Linked DNA regions of Notamacropus eugenii. The protein of the gene in region 1 binds, or shares a complex with, the protein of each later gene. Links are inferred from orthologs where the notes say so. Each region holds a gene or a part of one and is shown in the gene's direction. Other genes may lie near its edges.

The links.
Region 2: the proteins of BCAR1 (region 1) and SH2D3C are in contact, whole or in part, in a crystal structure (PDB 3T6G), measured with the Homo sapiens proteins. The link is inferred for Notamacropus eugenii from reciprocal best matches to the Homo sapiens genes BCAR1 and SH2D3C. Residues at the interface, in NP_055382.2 of Homo sapiens: Ser739, Gln742, Phe746, Tyr747, Gln750, Asn754, Val779, Ser782, Lys783, Ile786, Leu787, His790, Val793, Phe794, Ile795, Asp797, Thr798, Arg801, Gln802, Ser816, Asn817, Cys820, Leu823, Arg824, Val827, Lys831; in NP_733745.1 of Homo sapiens: Thr543, Val544, Pro545, Val547, Gly616, Val617, Arg618, Glu622, Thr625, Leu626, Pro627, His628, Leu749, Leu752, Leu753, His771, Gly772, Val773, Glu774, Val776, Leu777, Leu780, Glu781, Ala783, Arg784, Ala787, His788.

The regions. Positions count from the first base shown.
Region 1 is NC_092872.1:712,916,509-712,920,413, forward strand, and holds the start of BCAR1 (breast cancer anti-estrogen resistance protein 1), read left to right. Parts: upstream 1-1,453; 5' UTR 1,454-1,716; coding exon 1,717-1,728; intron 1,729-3,905. UniProt on the Homo sapiens protein: Docking protein which plays a central coordinating role for tyrosine kinase-based signaling related to cell adhesion. Implicated in induction of cell migration and cell branching. Involved in the BCAR3-mediated inhibition of TGFB signaling.
Region 2 is NC_092872.1:479,038,676-479,042,580, reverse strand, and holds the start of SH2D3C (SH2 domain-containing protein 3C), read left to right. Parts: upstream 1-1,311; 5' UTR 1,312-1,461; coding exon 1,462-1,498; intron 1,499-3,905. UniProt on the Homo sapiens protein: Acts as an adapter protein that mediates cell signaling pathways involved in cellular functions such as cell adhesion and migration, tissue organization, and the regulation of the immune response.

The DNA.
Region 1 (3,905 bases):
GGTGTTAGCAACTCATAAATCCTGTCCATCAAGCCTGGGAGGAATTGCCGTCTCCAGGAGAGGAAGGAGTTCCCTGACTGGATGAAATCAGAATGCTTAATGGATTTACCCATGAGGAAACTGAGCCTTGGAGAGGCTAAAACAGCTTGGCACGGTGGAAACAACACTAATCGATCAGGTAGACAGTTTATGTTTAAATCTTCCTTCCTTTTCCACAAACGTCGTGGACAGTTCCTCCAGCCCCCTTCCCATAATCTGGCAACAACCCAGCCAACTTTTGTCTTAGTTCCCTATTGATCTAATCTCCTAGGGCTCTATTCACCAGCCTAGGAACATCTGGACCAAAGAGCCCCTCCCTGGGAGCATCAATCTTCTAGAGGGGTTGTTTACTGTATTAGAATATAAACTCCTTGAGGACAACAGGGACTAATTTTGTAAGTGTAATCCCAGCCTTTAGCTTAGTTCTGGGCACATAGAAAACAATCATCCCCCCTTCCCTCCTTCCCTTCCTTTCTTCCTTCTTTCCTCTGCTGGCTGTACTCACTTCTGTGACCTTGGTTGAGTCACCGCCTCCACGAGATAGCGGTCCCTTCTGGCTGTAGATCCAAGCCTCCATGACCTTAAGTAGACTTGGCATAAACACTGAATTAAGAAGAGAAGGCTCCCGAATCAATCTCAGGTCCTCTCATTATTCCCTAACTGCCTCTCCAGTCCGCTTTCAACCTCCACAAAGATTGATTAAGCGTTTACTATGTGCCAGGTGGAGGCTAGCCACCCCGCCCCCCCACTCCCCCTCGTGCCTGGACAGTGGTGCGGGGTCTTCAGCCCTGGTAAAATCTCTCGGATGGATTATCCACCCTTCCCGCGAGTTTACTCCGTCCTGAGAACTGCGAATACAAAGAGAGGCACAAATACAGCCCCTGCCCTCAAGGAGCTTATTTTCTAGCGGAGAGACGATGGGCACACCGCGGTCACCTACGAGATCTAGACTGCAGTGTGAATGGGAGGCGATCTCCTAGCGCCTCAGCCTGTCTCGGGAGCCCCTGAACCTCAGGGAGGGTGTCGGGGGCGGGGTGAAGCAGTCCCCTGAACTCGCCTTGGGCCGACAGAAAAAACCGGGGCCGGGGTCCTTCCCTTTAACGCAGCCCTGAGCTCTGAGAGAGGAGGGGAGGGAGAGAGGGAAGGAGGAGGAGGAGAGGAGGAGGAGGAGGAGGAGGAGGAGGAGGGGGCCGAGCAGCAGCGCCTGCGCGCGGGGGCAGCCACAGCCGAGTGGCACCGACCGGCTCGGGCTGCGTGCGCCCCCGGCCACCCCGAGCTAGCGGCCCGGCCCCAGGCAGCGGGCTCCCTGCCCCCGCTGCCCCCAGGAGTCCCGGCCCCCGCGGGGCGGGGTGGGGCGGCTGGCCCCGGCCCCGAGGCAGCGCCAGGGGCGGCTGCGGAGCGCGCCCCGGCCCGGCCTAGCCCCAGCCCCAGCCCCAGCCCCCGCCTCCGGGGACGAGAGCCTCGGGATGCGCCCCGGTGCCTCCGCGGGGCTCTGAGCGCGGGGCCCGCCCGGGCTGCCCCGAGCCGAGAGGCCGCCACCGCCCCGCAGCAGCCGCCCCGCCACGCGCCCCGCAGCTGCCCCGGCCCGGGGATCCGGGCCCCCGCCGCGCGCCCCCAGACCCCGCGGGAGGAGAGCGAGCCGAGGAGCATCCCCAGCCCTTGGCGACGGCCGCCAAGATGTCTGTGCCGGTGAGTACCGCGCCCGCCGCCGCCGCCTTTGTGCCAGGCTCTCCGGAGGGGCGGAGCGGGGAGCGAGGGGACCCCAGGAGCCGGGCTGCCGGCGCGTGCCGCCCTCCGGGGACCTGGCAGCCGGCCTGGGCAGAGCGCGCGGGGCCCTCCGGGGAGAGTGCCGCGGCTTTGAGGGGCGATCTCCCCGTGTCGCCCCGCTCCCGAAATGATCCGAGAGGGGGCTTCTTCCTCCTGCTCTGGGGGCTTTGCTTTTTTGGCTCCCGAGACCGTGAGGATGGAGAGCGGGGTGGGGAATCTAGACACCGACATGGGGCCGCCACTTGACAGCAAAATGGACAGCTAGGAGACCCGGGGAAAACTCTCCGGCCTTGCCAGATGGCTCTGCCGTCAGACTTTTCCTCCTGCTGGATAAAATTCCCCGGAAACTTTGGTTAAACTTCTCCGAGCTACTTGGTCTTTCCCCCTTCTCTCTCAGTCCCTTTCTTCCCTTCCCTTCCAGCTGCCTGGCCCCTTCTGAGTTTCCAGTTTAGGCTGGGCTTTGGTTTGGCTAATGTCTGGGTTGTCTGCCCAGTCGGTGCTGATGGTGCCAGCTGCCCTGGGCCATGAGCAGTTCTTTTCCAAGGCCGGGCCCCAGCAGGGGAGTGCTAGGGAGACACCAGATCAGCAGGTTCCTGGCCTGAGCGGGTCCCCCACTCTTGGGTTCTGTTTACTACAATGAATGGTCCTTCTCACCTTTGCCACCTGGGACAAGACTCAGTGGGCTGGGAGAGGGGAGGTGTCTACGCTTCAGGGTGATCTGGAAAACAAAATCTTGTGAGCCTGTGCATGAGTTAGGAGCTTTATGGTGGTGTGGCTGGTGGGGAAGGTTTTAATCCAAGCCAGTTCTGAGGTTTTTATTCCCCTCCTCCCCCAGGGGAGGGTTGGGGTGAGGAACGACTTTTCTCCATGGAAAGAGATCCACACCATCAGAGGCAGATATTGAAAATGAGGCCAGTGGGGGAGAAAAAAGCAAAGCTAGGGAAAGGTGATTAAATCTATTTCACAGTTCAAGGCACATCACTAACCGACCTAAGTATCATGTTTCTTTCCACTAGCAGGTAGGAAAACATTTCTCTGCTGGTCCAGTGCTCTTGAGACTTCTGTGGCAAACTTAGCTGCTCTGTAGTCTTACTTATGGAAAGCCAAGGCTCAGTTTCCCCTAATTCCTGACCCTTTTCTCCCTCTCTCAGGAGCTGCTGTCATTAGGTCTCCTTACCAGTTTGGGGAATAACTATTATGGCTCCAAGATCCAAATCCTGTCACATAAAGTAGTTTTTCTGTGGCCTCTTCCAGGGCTCAAGTCATAGGACCTTGAAGGTGTTTCTGTGGTACCTTGGGCCCAGCTGTTAGTTGCCTTACAAGGCTCCCCATAGTCACATAGCATCCCATTTTCCAGACTGGTAAACTGATAAGGCAAATTCCCACAATATTGCTCCCACAGGGGGGATTGCTCTGTGTGTTAGAGTGAAAGGACACTGAAATTCCAGTTCTGGAACATCCTTTCTTTGTGACCTTGAGCAAAATCCCTTTACCTTAATAAGGCCTGTTTCCTCATCCTTACCTTCAGGTAATACCTACAGCTTAGGTATTATGTCCAGGAAGCTTTCTCTCTTTCCTCCAGTTGTTAAGTTTTTCTCTTTCCTTCAATTACCCTGTATTTATTTATTTATCTGGGTCATGTTGTACATTACCTTAGGAGAATGTAAAACCCCTTGAAGACAAGATTTTTTTTTCTGTTCTCAGTATCTAGCAAGTAATAGGCTCTTAATTAATGTATGTTGAATTGAATCCGTGGAATGGAGGAAAGGAGGAGTGAAGAAATAAGGGTTGGACTAAGTCATCTCTAAGGGTCCCTTCCAGCTATGATGTCACAAATTTGGGCATCTCATCTGAGTCCCTAGCCTCTCTTGCCCCATATTTAGTCAAGAAGACATCCAGTTTTACCAACAAGTTTCTGGGTCCTTCATCTCCCCATCTTGACCCCCCAGCCATTTTCCTATCTCTTTCCTATGAAGCAGTCATACTGTATCTTCTTCGCAGGGGGTAGTTCGAGTCTTAATTAACTACTGTAAAGTGTTTGGAGATTATTGGATGAAAGATGCTATGTAAGTACTGTGCCTTGTTATTATGGAATTAGA
Region 2 (3,905 bases), about 230 Mb from region 1:
AGGCTTAGGTTTTAGTTTCCACTAAGATGTTTGCAGTCCAGGTGCATGCAGGTGATTTTGAGAAGCAAATGGTGGAAAGTTTTCACTTCCTCATTTCTGTCCTGTTAAAGGCTGTAAGTTCCACTCTGGATGGGGAAGAAAGATTCTAAGTATGATGGAACCGATAGTCAGACCACTCCCCAGAAGGCCAGGTCACCAGGCTGGAAGTAATTTCTCCTCTCTAGGCCTCAATTTCCTTATTTGTAAAAATGAAAGACTTAAGCTAAATGATTTCTAAGGTCTCTTCCATCTTGATAACCTGGTATAATGGAAAAGTGATTGGATTTAGAGTTAAGACAGACTGGCTCTCAGTACAGGCTACCTGTGTGATCTTGGGCAAATCACTTCAATTTCCCTGGGCCTTGGTGGTCTGATCTGTAGAAGGAGAAGTTTGAAGAAAGGATTTCAAGGTTCCTCCCAGTTCTTAAATCTATGATTCTATAATTCCTAAGGACCTTTAGTTCAGGGAGTCAACCTTTTTTACATCATTGACCCTTTGACAGTATGGTGAAGCCTATGGACCCTTTCTCAAAATAATGTTTTTAAATGCATAAAATAAAATATATAGGATTACCAAGGAAATCAATGATATTAAAAATAAAGGTTTTTCTCTCTCCAAGTTCACAGACCTCCCCCCTCCCCTCCCAACTCCCCCTCCTCAAATCTAACCACAGACCCCATGGACCCTGGGTTAAGAAGTCCTGGTGTAGTGTGTGTTAATTCCCAGGAGAAGAGCCCAAGTTAGCCTTGAGAGCAGAGGCTGGGAAGGCAGAACACCTGAATTTTCATGCCATCTTAGTTAATTCTGAGAGAAAGAAGCTGTTAGTTTCCATCCTTTGAGCTTCAGATTTCTTCCCACTCAGATGAAACTGTTGATCCAAGATTCTGGCCGTCTGGTCTTTTCCCATGAATTCCCATGAGTTTGGGGAGCTTCTGAAGAGCCCCCTCCTCTTATTCCCAGGGGTTGGACACTCCACTCCCCCCCGACCCCACCCCCAACAGCAGGACCAGGCGAGCTGTAATGGCTAAGGATGCCAAAGCCAGGTTCCCAGACCCTGTGGTTACTCCTGGGTCCTTTCCAGGCCCTGAGGATGCTGCGGTCTCTTCTACTCCCTCCCCTTCTGCTGGCCCAAGCCGAGGAGGCTGCCCGGGGGAGGCAGGCAGGGGCCAGGGGCTGGAGGAAAGGTCTAACTCCCCTCCCCCCCTTCCCCTGCTGAGAGGGTGAGGAGGGTGGAGCTGTGGGAGTTTCACTCTGTTTAAAAATACACAGAGGAAGCGAGCTGAGAAAGTGAGAGAGCCAGAGAGGGGACAGGGAGAAAAAGGGGAAGGGGCTGGCCGGAGTAGGGGGGCTCCCATGAGCTGATGTGAAGACGTTCAAGAGAGGCTTCTGCTCATCTCTGCATCTCTTCTCGGCCTTCCAAAATGACGGAGACTCCCAAGAAGACAGGAAAAAAATTCAGTGAGTGTTGGGGTCTTTCTCATTCTCCCCTTTTGTTATTCAGGGAGGGGAGTTTGAGTGTGTTCAGTTCCAAACGCTACCAAGGGCTTCCCCCTGTAGTTGTTTGCATGATGTCTGCCTCCCTCCCTCCTGCAAAGACTAAGGTGGCTGTCTAGTCAGCTGCCTCATGGCCCAGGTCACAGGAGCCCAGATCTAGCACAGGAAGAGATCACAAAGGTCATCTGATCTAATTCCCTCTTTTACAGCTGAGGAAACTCAGGTTAAGTGACTTATCCAAGCTCACACTGATAATAACTGGTAGAAACTGAACCCAGGTCCTTTAGCTAACAAGCTATTTTTCTCTTGACTGTAGAGTTGGGGACTACAGAGGCAGAATGGAGAGGTAGTGGATGGCTCATGATAGCCAGGAGCCAGATTTGGGGAGAATTCTGTCATGAGCTTTTTATGGCCACTATAAACTCCTTGAGGGCAAGGAGGTAGTCTGTATCATCTCTGTATCTCAAGAGGCCTTAATATGATGTCTTGCTAGCAGTTAAGTACTTGCTCAGTAAATAATAGTTGGTTGATTGAATTTTTTAGTTCAGTGCATTTTACTAGCCGTACTCTGAGTGTCTACTCTGTGCCTAGCATGGTGCTAAATTTTGTTGGGGATATACAAATTGTTAAGACTCAGTCATGCTCTCAGAGGAGGTAGAATATATCCACAAATCACCAACTACAACCTGGGAGATGCCATAAGAGGGGTAGCAACCACCACCACCACCACCACCTCCACCAAAACAAATGGGCTTAGAGAGCTCAGAGGAGGAAGCATCCTGAATCTGGTGGGAGTGCTAGGGAAAGTTTCAGAGGGAAAGTTTCAGAGGGAAAGTTTCAGAGGGAAAGTGGCCTTTGACCTTGACCTTATAAAATATGTAGGAGACAGGGGGTAGAGGTAAAATTACAGAGACAAAGAGGATCTCCCCTCCCTTCTAAGGATATAGTAACCTTACTATAAGGTAGTAGAGGGGACTCTCCCTCCGAGCCCCAGTGCCCTCCCTGCCCAGGACTAGGTTCCTGGTCTCCTTGGTTTCCTTCAAGTCCCAGGTAAAATCAAGAAGCTCTTCCCAATTCCCCTTCATTTTCAGCCAGTGCCTTCCCTCTGGTGATTATTTCCAACTTATCCTGTATGCATCATGTTTGCATATGATTGTCTGTATGTTGTCTCCCCCATGAGATTGTGTTTTTTGTTTTTTGTTTTTGCCTTTCTTTGTAACCCCAGAGCTCAGTAGAGTGCCTGGCACACAGTAGGCACTTAAATGCTTGTGAACTGATGGTTGATCCCAGGTAGCAAGTACCTTCCCAACAGTCCCTCCCCCTCCCCCATGGTGGATGATCTCTCCCATTCCTGGGCTTGTGTAAGCCTCCAAAAGGTCATGGATGCCTAGCTTCCCCTCTGATAGACAGGACCATTAGGCTCACAGGGCCAGCCTCCCCACAAGGTCTCGCTGGACAGAATCATCAGCCTGGCGGTCATCTGATTGAAATGTGTATGTTTTTGGTGGGGAGGAGGTCAGAGACCCCTCTTCCCACTTCCCTGTAGTCTTATTGGGAGAGTTTGCCCTCCATCGGGTTAGTCACCCCTCCCCCACTTTTCTATCCACCCCTCCCCAGTTACCCTTCATCTCCTCCTCATAGAGTTCTTTACTTCCCTGATGCTGCTCACAAATACTGTCTTACTTTAAGGTCCCGATGGTCTGCCACTTCCTCTGGGAAGCCTTTCTTGATTCTCCCCAGCTATTAGCACACTTTCCATCCTGAAATAACTTTATATTTACTTTATCTCAGTCATATCCTTTCAGCAGAAAGTAAGCTCAGTCAGGGCAAGGATTTTCTTTTTTCTTTTTGTATCCCCAGCACCTAGCATATGATCTCGTGCAAAGAAATGTTTGGCAAATTGAATGAATCTACACGATAGCCTGGTAAAGAAGGCAGGACAGATCTATTTTACAGATGAGGGATTTGAGGCCCAGAGAGAAGTGATTTACTGGAGGTCAAATAGTGATCTCCTTGGTCCAGGGCTCTTTCATTCCCTCCCAACTTTTGAACACCCGAGGAGCTGGGTTGACTTGGTATAGATTGAGATGAGTGTGTATGTGTACGTATTTGGTTTGTGATGGTTTTTGGACTCAGGGTGTGGTATGGCCAGTGTCATCCCCTGCTGAAGGCCAGAGCTGGGGATATAGAGGCCTGTGAGAACTGGTCAGCTTGGGTAATTCTTGGTGCTCTAGGGACAGAAAGGAAGCAGAAAATAAGGAGCTTGCCTCTGGCCTAGATTTAGTGATGTGGTTGTAAAGAGGGCCAGCCTAGGAGTCAGAGTTCTGTACTCACATACCCCAGGATGTGGGAAGATGTTATCACCCCAAAG